Danio rerio: one gene and its partner. The protein of the gene in region 1 interacts with the protein of each later gene in a pairwise test. Links are inferred from orthologs where the notes say so. Each region holds a gene or a part of one and is shown in the gene's direction. Other genes may lie near its edges. The genes, in order: znrd2 and cct5.

Region 1 (7,727 bases):
TAAAGTGACATAAAGTGAAGTTTGTTTCTCACCGCTGCCACTGACTTGCTTGGTTGGGACTCATAGAGCTGTGCATCGATGGATTTGCTCTTCAGTCTTTGGACTTTCAGCATTGAAAATTAAACCACACTGAACTGAACTAAACTGAACTTCAACTCTGAAAACTGGACTGACAGTTTTAATTTACTTGAACTTCTATGTTAAGCTGCTTATACACAATCTACATTGGAAAAGCGCTATAGAAATAAACATGAATTGAATTAAATTGAACAGTAATTTTTTAGAGTAATTAGGCAAGTCATTGTCTAACAGTGGTTTGTTTTGTAGAGAATCGAAAAAGTATTCCTTAAGAGGGGTAATAATATCAACAGGGTGTCTGCGGGGTCTTAAAAAGCAAAAGTGTAGGCCTTAAAAAGTATTTAATTCACTGAAATTTTGTGTTGTAGGTCTTAAAACATTTTTAACAGGTCTTAATTTTCCTCTGTCCAAGTAAAGCTACCCAATAAGTCCAACATCCATCTAATCACCAATAATATAATATAAGTTTTATTATTGCATAGAGATACAATCGACAACAGAAATTTTTACAGCAAATTGTCAAAATGTAATTCTCTAATCAGGGAAAGAAACCTAAAAACAATTATTACATTCCACATGATAATAACAGAGCTATATGTCCCTTTACATGATTTTCCAGTTACACAAAAACTATGTACAAAAGTAAGGGGAAGCAGACGTAATATTCATAAACAGGCAAGGAATAGGCAAGGTTTTATATAGCCGAAAATTATTGGGTTGAATAGAAGTTATACTCAATCCATTCAGACAAATAGCCACAAATATATATTTTTGATCATTCATGTAATTGTGTCCGTAATAAATAAACTATTAACAATGGTTAAACTTGTCTTTTAAAAATAAATAACAATAAAAAAATAAAAAGTATGTACAACTAGAGTTTTCTTGTTTTGACAAATTCAAATAAGCAACAACAACCAGACCATTACAAAAAAAAACTTTAGTGTTTAGCCCTGTATAAGTCTAAAAATTTCATTCAAAACGGTCTTAAAAGGGTCTTAAAAAGTCTTAAATTTGACTTGTTGAAACCTGCAGAAAGCCTGTATTAACCTTAAATGTTTTTTAAGAAATTAAAAACTGTTTTTATTATAGCCGAAATAACAAAAGTCTTTCTCCAGTAGAAAAAAAATGTTCAAGGAAATATTGTAAAAACTGTAAAAGTTCTTGCTCTGTTAAATATAATTTGGGAAATGTTTGAAGAAGAAAAAATTCACTGGAGGGTGAATAATTTTGACTTTAACTATACATTTATGTGCAGTTTTTGATTGGCACTGAGTGTTAAACAATAGTATACAATAAAATCATTTACCTCTATATAACTCTATGCTTTATTAATGTTATTTGTCATCATTTGTAGTGATCAGATTTTTAGTTGTTCTCTTTAACAAACTTTGTCTTTATGTTTTTATTTAAGTTTTCAATCTGCTGGTAAATCTGGGAGAAATGTTTACGTACCCCAGTTTAATTTCCCTGGGAATTCTCTTGACAATCCCAGCAAGTGCAGGTATTTTTCATGGAAATAAATTGACAAGTAAACATTTTAATTATCTTGCTAAACACAAAGAGAACATCATTTATTGTCTGATAATTGAATATAGCGCTTTCTTCTCTTTCTCATAAGCTGTGGATGGCTTAGTGACGTTAACTCTGCAGATCAGCCATGTGCGAGCAGCGGCCGCCGGCATCATCTCAGCTGGATATCTGATGCTGCAGCTTCCAGAAAACTGGGATGAGAGCACTTTCCGCTGGCTCAGCGCACTGTGGCGTGGAAACTGGCGAGAGGACAGTATTGTTGGAGAGGAATCTATGGTGGACACTGCTGGGACTTTACGAACAAAAGCCAAACCAGCCGTAGTGACTCTCTAGCTGAGCCTTAAAAATGCAGGATTTTTTTGGCTTCATTAAATCCTTGAAGAAAACAAAGACTTTTCAATGTTCTTTGGATTTTAACCTGTCCTTCTAAGATATGAATGGTTTATTTAGGAACTGTTCCTAGTATGTTTTTAATGGTTTTACCATATTTGAATACTTTGTTGAAACCTACATGAGTGCTGGTGACTTATAAAATATTTTTAAATATTTTTTTTTTATAAAATCTGTAGGAATGAAGTTTTAATATTATCCAATTTCTGAGTACTGGGTTGTGGCTGGAAGGGCATCTGCTGCGTAAAACACACTGGAATAGTTGACAGTTCATTCCGCTGTGGCGACCCCTGATAAATACAGGGATTAAGCCGAAGGAAAGTGAATGAAGGAACATTATCAGTTTTGAAGTCTCCAACCTTAATCCCTCTAGTGCTGTTCAAATTTGCATGAACGTTTGTGCTAATACCTTTGAAACTGTAAGAACTAATAAAAATGTAATTATTGTCTCCTCTAATTTCTTGGCTTCAAAGCATAGTTCACCTAAAAATGAGAAGTCTGTCATCATTTACTCTCCCTTCACTTGTTTAAACCTGTTTAATATGAGAAATTGCAATGATTTGTGTAGTAAGACACTATGGAATTTGCTTGCTGTGGAAGTCAATGGCTACGGGTTTTTAGTTTTCTTCAAAATTACTTATTTTGTTGTCAAGAAACTCAGAAAGGTTTATAACCACTTGAGGATAAGTAAATACTAAATAGTGAGGACAATTAGATTTTTGCAACGAATTAAGAAAAGTTATCATTCGTCATATGTTTTCAGTCATTTTGTATTTTTCCATTAATAAACCCTCTTCTGTGGGCTCATAAGGTAGTGAAGTGTCCATCATGTGCGAACTTCTTAGTATTCTCATCTGTCAACTGGTTTGGGTGTAATACTATAGCACACATACCGTTTTTCACATACGGTAATATAGCTGACAAAGCTAATGCTATTTGTCCACAACTGTTGTGTGTTAACCATAACCAGTGATGATTTGCACAGTTTGAGCCCTGATGAAAATCCCAAACTTTACTTTTTCTCACCATAAGACTGTGTGAACTACACATTTCCAAACCATGCTGGCAACACCAACACCTGAGGCTGTATCTTTGCAAGACTGACAACGCCACACTACACTAGTTTGGTAACAGCATCACCTATTGGTCAAAGTAAACTATGAAATCAAAGTGATTTTCTTTATTCACATTAACTATGTATTAATTAGGCTAATATTAACCTGATGCAGTGATGGTAATGTTTAAAAATAAATTATAGAGTTGTGCAGAAGGAGTGATTTTATTGTTTAGGAGCCTTTTGAATTTTTTTCAAAATCCACTTTCATTATAAAATGTTATTTTCTGCATTGTTAAGACCCCAGATGTCTAGGGCTAGAGAGAGGCGTAACTGCATATTATCAGTTAAACAAATCAAGCAGGTAGTTAGAATATTTAGTTGACTGGAAACCAAGAGATAGTGAAGAACATTCTTTATTTTCCAGCATAAACTATGTATTTTTTTATGTGTCTAAATCCAGATTTTTTTTTCCGAACGAAACAAATAATCCTGAGATTTTCAGAATGAAGGGGAAAAAACTGAGCAATAGGACCTACATTCAGCTCGCTAGATGGCGCCAGTCAGTTTTCATAGCACCTTCCACATTTCACCGCTGAAGTTTCGAGCAGGAAACGTTATCTGTGTTGTGAGGCGGCTGATGAAGAAAGCATGGCCCTTAACGCAGGTAAAATGTCAATAAACTCACATTTAGACAAATCTCTTGTTAAACTCCCCAATTTAGTACCGAAATAACCCTTAATCACTAACCTCCAGTCGTGCTATAGTAACGTTAGTACACGTGCAGCTGCGCTAAAATAACATCATGTTACGTTAGCAGGTTAGCCCCTCACTGTCTGCATTTCTGTACTGGCATGTGGCTTTTATTTCATTTAAAATATCGAGCTTTCTCTGTGTCTTTGCCTATTATTGACTCGTAAAGTTCCACGTACAGGAATCGCACGGGTGCTGAAAATACTTTAAATGCTGGAATTTTACTCTTGTGTTTCAAGGTTTAAAATGTACTTAGATTATGGATAAAGTACTTTAAAATGCGATTGTTCCTTTCATAATAATTTATCTTACTAAGCTGGTAATAATAGTATGAATAAATTAATTATAATAAAGATATGTAAATGGATGACAGCATAACTAAATGTTGGGGTTGGATCAAACCTGCTATCACATATTTTCCTTTTATTAAAGCTAAAAAAATAAAATTAAAAACGAAATTTTTCACATAGTATATTAATTATACTATAATTTACTGTACTATACTCTAGAATAGCTTCTGATATAATGTGATGAAGTGTTTTTTTTTTTTTTTTGCATATAGCACAAATTTAATTAACAACTACAGAACAGAGCACAAATAATAATCAAATCAATAAGATTATAATATAAATAAATACAACTTTAAACAGAATAGACACACAAACACATTCAAAAAAGAACTACCTGGTCGTCTATTAATTAAAATGTTTTCAATAAACTGAACTTCCTAATTTTGATTTTACCAACTTTAAAGCTTTACAGTATAACCAAAATTCCTTTTGGAAAACCCAAAACAGTGGTTTTGTTTTCAGGCACTTGCATTTATGAACATAAAATTTCTCCAAAATTAGAATATTGTTCAATACAACTTGAATATTAATATCTTCCCCTAATAAACCAAAGATAATATCATTTTTAGAAAATTGGGAGGACATCTTGAGAGAAACTTTTAACCACTCAAATGAATTTGTCTAGAAGGTTCTGCTGTATAAACAGTCAAAAATAAATATACAGTCTCTGCAGATGGTTAAATATCATTGAATATTTTAAAGTGTACTTCTTTAGCTTTGAGGAGGTATGGGGAAGGAAAGGAACATATTCCCTAATTCGATAATAGAGCTTATTATCTGAATACACTCTGAATAAAATCTTCTCCATTCATCAGCAAATAAGGTACGTCATTTTTATTGGGGGCCACAGTACTAACCATTATTACAAATGCCTTCAGAATAGATTTCAATACCCTATTGAATTGCTTATGATCACATTCAAAGTTATATTTTTCACAAAAATTTCCAGTAACTCAGAACCTCACCCTCTTTGTTTAATAGATGGACACTCAACCAAATACCTCTCTCCCACCAATCTTTATAGAAAGGATTTTTTTCTAAATATAATTAATGTGATGAGGTGTGCAGACGTATGTAAATATGTAATTTTCCACACTTTATAAAGTACTGAAAAAGTTTTAAAACACCTGGAAAGTGCTTAAGTGGGTGTGTGAATTAAATGAGCATTCGTCCATAAACAAGAGCATTCTGTGTGTGTTTTCCTGAATCCAGATGATGAAGACTTTGAATGGGAGCCTCCCTCTGAAGCAGAGATGAAGGTGATTCAGGCTCGCCGGGAGCGGCAGGATAAGATCAGCAAGCTGATGGGAGACTATCTGCTGAAGGGGTACAAGATGCTGGGCGAGTGCTGTGAGCTGTGCGGGGTGAGAGAAAACACCATACACTCATAGGAGACTCCAATCAAATCTGTGTTTTATTTAGTGCAATACAAGCTAGAGCCTTAATTTAATTATTAAATATGCAGTGAGGTACTGTGTTGTTAAGTTGTAGCCATGTTTGAATATTAAAACTTGCGATAATGACAAAAGATGACGTGCAATATTTTCAGTTCAGAATGTCTGAAAGTTTAATAATGTTTTTAATTAGTTTAGTTTATTTATTTACAAAGCGTAATAAAAAAAAAATTTTTAAGTTGTTGACCATTGTGCTGTACAAACCTAAAAGCAAATGATCAAAAATAGACAGCAACAAGTAAAACAACATAGAATACATCCAACATACCACACAGCATCATAGATACATAACAAGCGACCAGATAGGTACAATAGGATTAATTTTCTCCCAATTTAAAAGCTATTTCAAGGAGGTGTAGTTTAAGTTTCCCTCTGAACAAAGATTCAATAGAAACTTTTCTAATGGACGAAGGTAGCCTGTTCCACACTTTAGGACTTACTACAGAGAAAGCTCAATCTTCTTTTTTTATTCAATTTGGATCTGGGAACTACTAGCATTTTCTGGTTCGATGACCTTAAACATATGGCAGATATTTGAACTAATAAGATTAGAGAGATAAGTCAGAGCCTGGCCTTTTAATACCTTAAAAACAGACATTAAAATTTTAAACTCAATTCTAGGTCACAATTTAGGAAACACGGGATAGGAGTAATGTGTTCAAACCTGCGTGTACCAGTAAGAAGCCTTTTAAAAAGCCTTTCACTTTGGCTGATAATCTCAGCTGAAAAAAACCAAGATTTAACTACTGCATCTACCTGTGTGTCAAATAAGAGGACAGAATCTAGGATAAAACTTTGATTTCTTAAAGATGGTTTAATGCAGTCTGCAAAATTGATTCATTTGATTCAGCTTTCCCGAGCCAGCAGTTGGGATGCATTTTAACTTGATCAAAATTGAGAGCTTTGAGACTTTTATAAAGTTTACAGTTGCAAATAAACACTGTACTCTGTTTATTCATCATGAAGCTATAAAATACAATGTGTTTCATGGATGTCCGAAAATAACTGAACAAAAAAATGAAAATAACTGAACGAAAATAACCTGTTTTTAATAATCCCGTCACATTTCCACTTTGTTTCTTTTTAAAGGCACTGAATAAATGCATGTTCGCCTCTTTTGAATGATGAATCAACATTTTACAAACCTGCCTCAATATTGCTGGGCGATATGGTAAAAATACAATATCAATTAATTATTTTCCACATTAAACAATAATGATATACATGTGTATATATATATATTTTGATTTCAGTTGTTATTGCTTCTGGATTTAAGAGTATCCCAACAATGACTAAAGCCCCAAAAATAAGAGGGTACATTAAATAGCATAACCTGGACGTAAATTTGGTGCATCCCTAATATCAACACAATGGCTAATCAGCACTGCTTAAAAACACGCTCAACTGTTAACGGGAAGTGTGCGTTTTCAGTATCAATTGGTACCTGATTGGCTCTTAGATTATATAGAGTAAAAAAGTAAAAGTAAAAAAAGTCATTGTTATTGACAAAAATGTTATCGCCATACGATATAATATCGTTTATGCCTTAACATTATAATGTTTACCTTGTTTTAAGACTGAAGTCTTAATGGCCCACATCTAGTATTTTTGCATTTATCTGCAGTGCCTTTCTGTAATTCAGCTGTTTTGCTTTTGTATTTTTACAAGGTCTCGTCTGACAACAATTTTTTTTTGAGTATCCAACATCTATAAATCAATCAATTTTAGAAAAAAAGACATTTAAATGAAAAATTACAATGATTTTCATGTTTAATCAGTAAAAAATACTGTTACTTTTAGTTAAAACTATGCAGTAAGGCAATATCTAATGGTACACAAACAACAAAAATAGTATTAAATATTGAATATTTACGGAATATTGAGTAGAGGCGGGGCTCTCTTTTTGCACAACATTTTTTCATAGGAAACTAACAGTAAGGGGGGGCGTGGCTAAAAATATTGTGACTGAAGCTGTCAAACTGACATCAACAGAGCCGGACCGCCACTCCAAAAGCAGATGCAGACTACCAAAGCAAAAATCATTAGCATGGATTCATTGTTCACCTAAAGAATAACAAAATAATCATTGTACATTTTTTCTCACAGACTTTAATT
Region 2 (7,709 bases), on another chromosome or scaffold:
CCATCTCAATCAGTTTAAAATTATTCATTCTTTCCAAATAAGAGATATTCAAGTCATCGGGGGAAATAATATTCATATAGCAATGTATATCGCAGAAAAACTAAATATTGCATTGTTAGATTTTTCCAATGTCGTGCAGCCCTATCAAAGATCTCAGTAAAAAAATTTGCAAACTCATTGCATTTACTTCAAAGAAGAGTTCCTTCAGAATCTTACTAGTACATGCCAGAGTAAAATGAAAATGAATGTTATAAAATGATGAACATAACCTTTTTAGTGTTGCAACAGGTTTCATCAAGTCAAATGTAAGACTTTTTAAGACCCTTTTAAGACTATTACGAATGAGATTTTAGACTTACACAGGGCTAAGCACTAAGGATTTTTAGTAATGGTGCAGTTGGACCAATGGAATTGAAAAAAAAAATGTAGTTATTTCATTAATTTTCTTTTCGGCTTATTCCCTTTATTAATCTGGGATCACCACAGCGTAATGAACTGCCAACTTATCCAGCATATGTTCCACGCAGCGGATGCCCTTCCAGCTGCAACCTATCCTTGGGAAACATCCATCCACACCCATTAACACTCATACACTACAGACAATTTAGCCTACCCAATTCACCTGTACAGCATGCCGTTGGACTGTAGGAGAAACTGAACACCCTGAGGAAACCCACACGAACGCAGAGAGAACATGCAAACTCCGCACAGAAACACCAACTGACCCAACCTAGGCTTGAACCAGCGAACTTCTTGCTGTGAGGATACAGCACTACCTACTGCGTCACTGCATCGCCATAGTCATTTCTTAACCACATATTTTAATGTGTCAAAACTAAAAAAATTCTAGTTGTATAGACTTTTTTCAGCACGTTTCTTTTTTTTATAACAATTTTAACATTGTTAAAGGTATATTTATTATGAAGAACTACACAAATAATCAAAAAATATATATTTGTTTGCTTTTTGTCCAAATTAATTGAACTCCTATTCAACCAACTGCAATGTGTTTCTGTTATAAAACACAAGTTTTATGCCTTCCTTTACTTTCTGCAAAATGTCTAACAGCTGTTTAGAAATCGATAGATAGATAGATGGATGGATGGATGGATGGATGGATGGATGGATGGATGGGTTTTGGCCCGACTGGGTAACATTATATCAACAACTTTTAAAATTAAGACCTGTTTAAAATAATTTTAGACCTACAACACAAAATTTTTGTAAATTTAAGACTTTTTAAGGCCTAAAATTTTGTTTTTGAAATTTAAGACGTATAAAGACTATTTAAGATCCCACAGATACCCTGCATTTAGACTGCATTCGCATTGCAAAAAATCCCACATGTGAAAGTGTCACAAATCGAAATTTCAAAGATCACTTTCCATCATCCATTTGGTTTGTGGTGTTCAGTGTGTCATGATCGGAGTAGATTTGAGTAACATGAGCACAAAAAAAATCTGATTTGGGCCACATTTTGGCTACAGTGTGCAGCAACCTAATTGCTCATAGGTGGAGCTCACTCTTACCCAACAGCAAGTTCAGCTTACCTAACAGTGCATACCGCAGATGAGAAAGATGGTCGTGTGGCAGAGATTTATTCTTGATTTTTCTTACAAACTTCAGAGCGGTGTCTGGAGGGTCACCATCACCGGTAGTGGAAACCACAAAAACGACTGGGCGGCTTTCACTGTCTAGGTTGTACTGTGAATGTTCAAGATCAACATCAGCCAACTCTGATTTGTGCAAGATCCCTGAAAATTGCTGTGAAGAAGCAGCATACCTTGTCATGCTTGCTCAGACAGCTGATGTCTGCTGTAAATCCATGCTCAGCGGCTTGTTGGCAGATCTCTTCTGCTATAGACTGAGCCTGACCACGCTGAGATCCGTACAGAATTAAGAAGTGAGCGGCAGCTTCACACGGCATATTATAAAAGCTTGAGAAAGATGTGGAAAAATATTTCTGCATGTGACATCATAATGCATTAAAAACCTATATGTGATTATTAACCAGAATAAGTGCTGTTTTATAAAAGTCAGAACTCTCATAATAAAACTGTCATTAATAAAGTAAAAAATAAAATACTTTTTACTGCATTATTATTATTGATGAATTTAGGAATTGAGAAATGAATTGAAAAACACAAAATGATCCACATTAAAAATCTGATTTATATATCTGTTTTTATACATTTCTAGTTTTTATTTGATGAATAATTAAAAAAAAAAAAGCATAACTGCAGATATCAACCATATTTAGTCAACTGAAATCAAGTAAATTTAATGAAGTATATTTTTACTTAATCACTTTATAAATCTCATGATTGCTCAAACTCTGTCCACATTCATATCTACAGAATTTCTAAAATAAACAGTACTAAAAAGGTTTTTAAAACAAGTAAATTAATTTGACAGGCATAAACCACTTTCAAATGCATGTTACTTGTAGAAATGGTTTGTCAATAAGCATACTGGCACGTTTATCAACAAAAACCAATCCTAAATGTAGAGGGCAAATGTGGAAAAGCAAATATGCCATTACTTGATGAGGGTTTATTATTTTTAGAACATTATCATAATTTAACATACTAAACACAAGTATTATTTATATGCTTTTAAACAATAATTAGTTAATTATTAAAAATTATTAATAATTATTATTCAATAAAATATATTATTCAAAACATAAATAAATTCCAAAAGAAGGTTGCATAGCATATGATCATTTATGTTCAATTAACCTTTTTTTTCATTGAAATGTTTATTTATGAGCTTCGTTTTTTTAAAGGAACCTCTGTATTTACATTTTGTGATTGTGAGAAGTTCTTTTAGTTTATTACACGTATGTACTGTATGATATAATGAAACAATTTACTTTAAATATGACCTAATCTGTGTACGTTTGTAATGTAAAAAGAATCATTATAATATACAGGTGCAAACGGAAATCAAGCAACCCTGATCATGTGAATGTTGCATAAGTTTTATAAGAGATATCCAAAAAGATATCAAAACAAGCTGTAGCTTCACCAAGTCTAACTTTAAAGTCATGTAGACCTCACAAAGACACTTCAAAAACAAATGTCGGTCACAAATGTAAAACGTAAATGATGGAGAGAGAAAAAAGTCACCTTGCTTTTGCAAATAACAACACAAACAGCCTCTTCGGTCATGTAACATACTGAAATCCACACTGGTGTGCTGTCAGAAGCATGAACGGGAGGAACAGGTAATCGGAAATTACGTTACCAACGACGAGCACATGGCCTTTCTCAAATACACAAGTTGTACGTGTGCACATACACAAATCAATTTTGTAACGTCTATTTGTTAGTCAATCTGCATGAATTATAAATCTGTACCCGCACTCGCGTTATTTGTTGTCGTTATCGCGAGAATGGAATAAACCATTAATATGCTTCAATTTAAAAAAATTATTTAAAGATTCGTTAATTGCTTTTTCTCCTTCATAATTGTCTTAAATGTTTAATATTGTTATTTAATTAGGGATTAAATGGTAATGTAATGTACAAAAATGTGGATGTTTTAACATTGTCAACTTGGTTTGGTCCGTCCCTCCCCGAGATTCTTCCAGAACTAGCCGGCAGATCCGCGCGGTGAGGTGCGCAGCTAGAGGATTAAATTCTCTAGTATAACATCACTTTTCATAACTGTGCATTTCTTTGGGGTGGAAATTAAACATGTCCGCGCTTGGGACTCTCGCCTTCGATGAATATGGAAGGCCTTTCATCATCATAAAGGACCAGGACAAGAAATCTCGCTTGACTGGCCTGGAAGCACTGAAGGTAACGTTACAAAAGCTAACGGGCTAATGGGCTATAACGGAGATTTTAATCATATCTGTAATCCAGAATACCGCATTTACTGTATACTGTAGATTGATTCTTTATGAAAACGTACTTCTGCAGTCTGACATGTTAAGAATGCATTCAGTTATTGCACATTTATTTGTCTAACGTGATCAACAATGTGCGCATGTCAAGGGATGGTCCATGTGCTTCCTCTAGTCTAGTCTAAAGACGTCGAGTCATAATGCGCAATGCCTTCATTCATTCATCAGACATGTCTTCATCACATTTTATTTGTGGCAATATACTTCAGTTGAATGTTGTTAATAAATAAGTAATGATGATAGCTATCACTCTACTTCCCCCAATTGTTTGATTGCATAAAGAATTGCAAAAAGCCAAACTTTTCTAAACGGACAGGTGCATGTTTTTGTTGTGTTTTTTGGGGGCTTGCAGTGTCTTGCCTTGTTTTATAATGATAGTTTCAGTTCTATTATTTGACAAAAATCCTATAAAGAGGATTGGGTTGTTATTTGAGACACGCCTTACTAACAAATTTTTAGTTTATATATACATACATACATATACATTAAATTTATATAAGATATTCTACCAGAAATGCACATTATCTTTCCCTTAAAACCGTAAATTGCCATTCTTGCCTACCCATTTGAGCCTCCCAAGCCCAAAACCAAGCATAAGCTTGGCGTGGCATCTACTGACATCAATGTTATTTCTGTTCTCTTCAGTCTCACATTCTTGCAGCAAAAGCAGTTGCTAACACCCTGAGAACATCGCTAGGTCCAAATGGTATGTTTTTAATTTTGCATGTACTCTTCCTAGTTTATTTCATGCTGTTTTTTTTAATGCTGGTAAATGTTCTTTACAGGACTTGACAAGATGATGGTGGATAAGGATGGTGAGGTGACCGTGACCAATGATGGTGCGACGATCCTCAGCATGATGGATGTGGACCATCAGATTGCCAAGCTCATGGTTGAGCTCTCCAAGTCTCAAGATGATGAAATTGGAGATGGAACCACTGGTGTTGTTGGTGAGCTTAGCTTGATATTCTTCTTCTCCCCTTTTAAAACACAACCACAACACTAGCAAGAGCATTTTCTTTCTGTCTTTGTTTAAATGCATTGATTTGCTCGTATATAAACATGGATAAATGTACAGCCTTACAAATACATTGAAATGCACATTAGAAAAAATTTAAAAATCCTCTTTTCCAAGCTGTGTGTACATTTTATGTGCCATTACAAAAATGAGCATGTGTGCATACTGTTCTGGAGATGATATGCTATGGGAAATGACCCAGCTTATACAAAATCTAATAATAAAAGGTCCTTTTACAGATCTAAGTATGATATATATGCTTTACTTTAATATGATATATGGATGCTATTTACAATATTTATACTTTATGTACAATATACAGCTGAAGTCAGAATTATTAGTTCCCCTGAATTATTAGCCCCCCTGTTTATTTTTTTGCCCAATTTTTGTTTAACAGAGATAAAATTTCTAACACCACAATTTCTAACAAATCTCTAACACATTTCTAAACAATAGTTTTAATAACTCAATTCTAATAACGGATTTATTTTATCTTTGCCATGATGACAGTAAATAATATTATACTAGATATTTTTCAAGACACTTCTGTACAGCTTAAAGTGACATTTAAATGCTTAACTTGGTTAATTAGGTTAACTAGGCAGGTTAGGGTAATTAAGCAAGTTAGTGTATAATGATGGTTTGTTCTGTAGAGTATTAAAACAAAATATAGCTTTAAGGGGCTAATAATATTGACCTTAAAATATTTTTTTTTTAATTAAAAACTGTTTTTATCCTAGCCGAAATAAATCAAACATGACTTTCTCCAAAAGAAAAAAATATCAAACACTGAAAATTTCCTTGCTCTGTTCATCATTTAGTAAATAGAAAAAAAAAAGAAAAATTCAAAGGGGGGCTAATGATTCTGACTTCATATCTGAATATTATAGTAAAGCATATACAGTTAATCATTTCTTGTCAGGCTTCTAAAACTGCTAAACATTTTTCTAGACTGGACACTTTAATGGGGGAAAATGTTCTAAGATATAAATGTCACCCTAATTATTTTTTAATGAATTATTCTTACTTGTTTTGTGTTTACTCGTTATAGCATGAAGGACTTTAGTAATTAAATTAGTACAAGGCTAAATTGAATGTATAAGTAGGTGTATGTAGGTTTATACGCAAGACGTACTGTTTTGCTGTTTGAATTAAATTGTCAAGTAATTGATAAAAACCACTGGTGAAATAATATTGTAATCTTACTCCATATAGTGGAGAATGAAAAAATCATATTTAATGTTTTGTTTTCTCTTATTGCTGCATGTAGTTGTCAATATGTAATATGTTACTTTTATTACTGTTACTGATGTGACAAGAAATAAATCTTAAATAATGGTAAAAAAAAAAAAATAAAAACAATAAAATTGAGCAGGGTACATTTAAATGTAGAGAGAAAGAACAATTTAAAGCTGTATCACACTTTTACTATTGTAATGCTTGACATGTTGATTTCATGCAGGCCTACCTGTAGGCTATAGTTCATATTCCTAAATGTAAAAAGTGTTTATGTACTATGTTTGTCCGCTTGTTAAGTGTGACTTTACGTGAAGCGGCTTTACTTTCACGTGATTTTTTACTTTAAAAAAAAATCTAAATCGCAGTGTGTATATATAAATACATCCATGCCTAATATTCGATGATCAGAAAGTAATACATTTTTTGTAAATTGTTAAATATTGGTGTTTGTGATGCAGCATGTCCAGAGACCGTTGTGTACACCGTGATTTCATATAAAATTCACTTTTATTTTCAATATGACTGAAAAAGTGGTCATAAACAAATATTTTGTCAATTCTAACGTGTAGTGGCTTGGACCCGGAAACATTTCATACGTCACGATTGACAAGCAGATTGAAGTCTTATTTTCTTGCTTATTGAGTTACTGTAATGTTTGTTTTGTCCTGTAGTTCTGGCCGGAGCTCTTCTGGAGCAGGCAGAGCAGCTGTTAGACCGAGGCATTCACCCCATCAGAATTGCAGATGGTTATGATCAGGCCGCAAAGATCGCCATCGAACAGCTCGACAAAATCGGTGATAGTTTCCCTGTGGATCCTAACAACACAGAATCTCTCGTTCAGACAGCCATGACCACACTAGGATCCAAAGTGTGAGTTTTTCTGTTACTACGTGTTTGATTTGACCAGATAATTACTGAGAATATTCATTATTAATATTTTTTCCTGGTTTATAGGATCAACCGGTGCCACAGACAGATGGCAGAGATTGCTGTCAATGCCATTCTGACAGTGGCAGACATGGAGAGGAAGGATGTGGACTTTGAGCTCATTAAAGTGGAAGGAAAGGTTGGTGGTAAACTAGAGGACACTCAGCTCATCAAAGGTGTCATTGTGGACAAAGAGTTCAGTCACCCTCAGATGCCCAAGGTTTGTGTTTAGTGTTAATGTTCATTTCATGCATGCTCTGGTTCTAATATTTTAGGTTATTTATTTATTAGTGCATTCTTCCAGGTGCTCAAAGACACCAAAATTGCCATCCTCACCTGCCCATTTGAGCCTCCCAAGCCCAAAACCAAGCATAAGCTTGATGTGACATCAGTGGAGGATTATAAAGCTCTGCAGAAGTACGAGAAGGACAAGTTTCAGGAAATGATCCGACAGGTTTGTATATTGCCTGCTTTTGTTTTGCGGTTCTTAAGGCTGATTTATACTTCTGCCTCAAACGCATGTGTATGCTCGGTGTTAACGCATAGCCCTGGCCGTCGGCGTCGCTGACGTGCGCCTCTCAAAAAATGTAACTACACGTCGCATCGACGCGT

Evidence for each region.
Region 2: the proteins of znrd2 (region 1) and cct5 interact in binary tests that used the Homo sapiens proteins (3 or more experiments, as listed by UniProt). The two-hybrid records come from large-scale screens. The link is inferred for Danio rerio from reciprocal best matches to the Homo sapiens genes ZNRD2 and CCT5.

Annotation. Positions count from the first base shown.
Region 1 is NC_133185.1:31,772,962-31,780,688, forward strand, and holds the start of znrd2 (protein ZNRD2), read left to right. Parts: upstream 1-3,637; 5' UTR 3,638-3,706; coding exon 3,707-3,722; intron 3,723-5,370; coding exon 5,371-5,522; intron 5,523-7,727. Other genes in the region: solute carrier family 35 member F4, read left to right, coding at 1,493-1,582, 1,700-1,944. UniProt on the Homo sapiens protein: Might play a role in mitosis. Antigenic molecule. Could be a centromere-associated protein. May induce anti-centromere antibodies.
Region 2 is NC_133199.1:20,771,163-20,778,871, forward strand, and holds the start of cct5 (T-complex protein 1 subunit epsilon), read left to right. Parts: upstream 1-3,587; 5' UTR 3,588-3,701; coding exon 3,702-3,806; intron 3,807-4,558; coding exon 4,559-4,619; intron 4,620-4,698; coding exon 4,699-4,863; intron 4,864-6,841; coding exon 6,842-7,040; intron 7,041-7,124; coding exon 7,125-7,317; intron 7,318-7,401; coding exon 7,402-7,551; intron 7,552-7,709. Other genes in the region: mtrr (methionine synthase reductase), read right to left, coding at 1,551-1,704, 1,784-1,927. UniProt on the Homo sapiens protein: Component of the chaperonin-containing T-complex (TRiC), a molecular chaperone complex that assists the folding of actin, tubulin and other proteins upon ATP hydrolysis.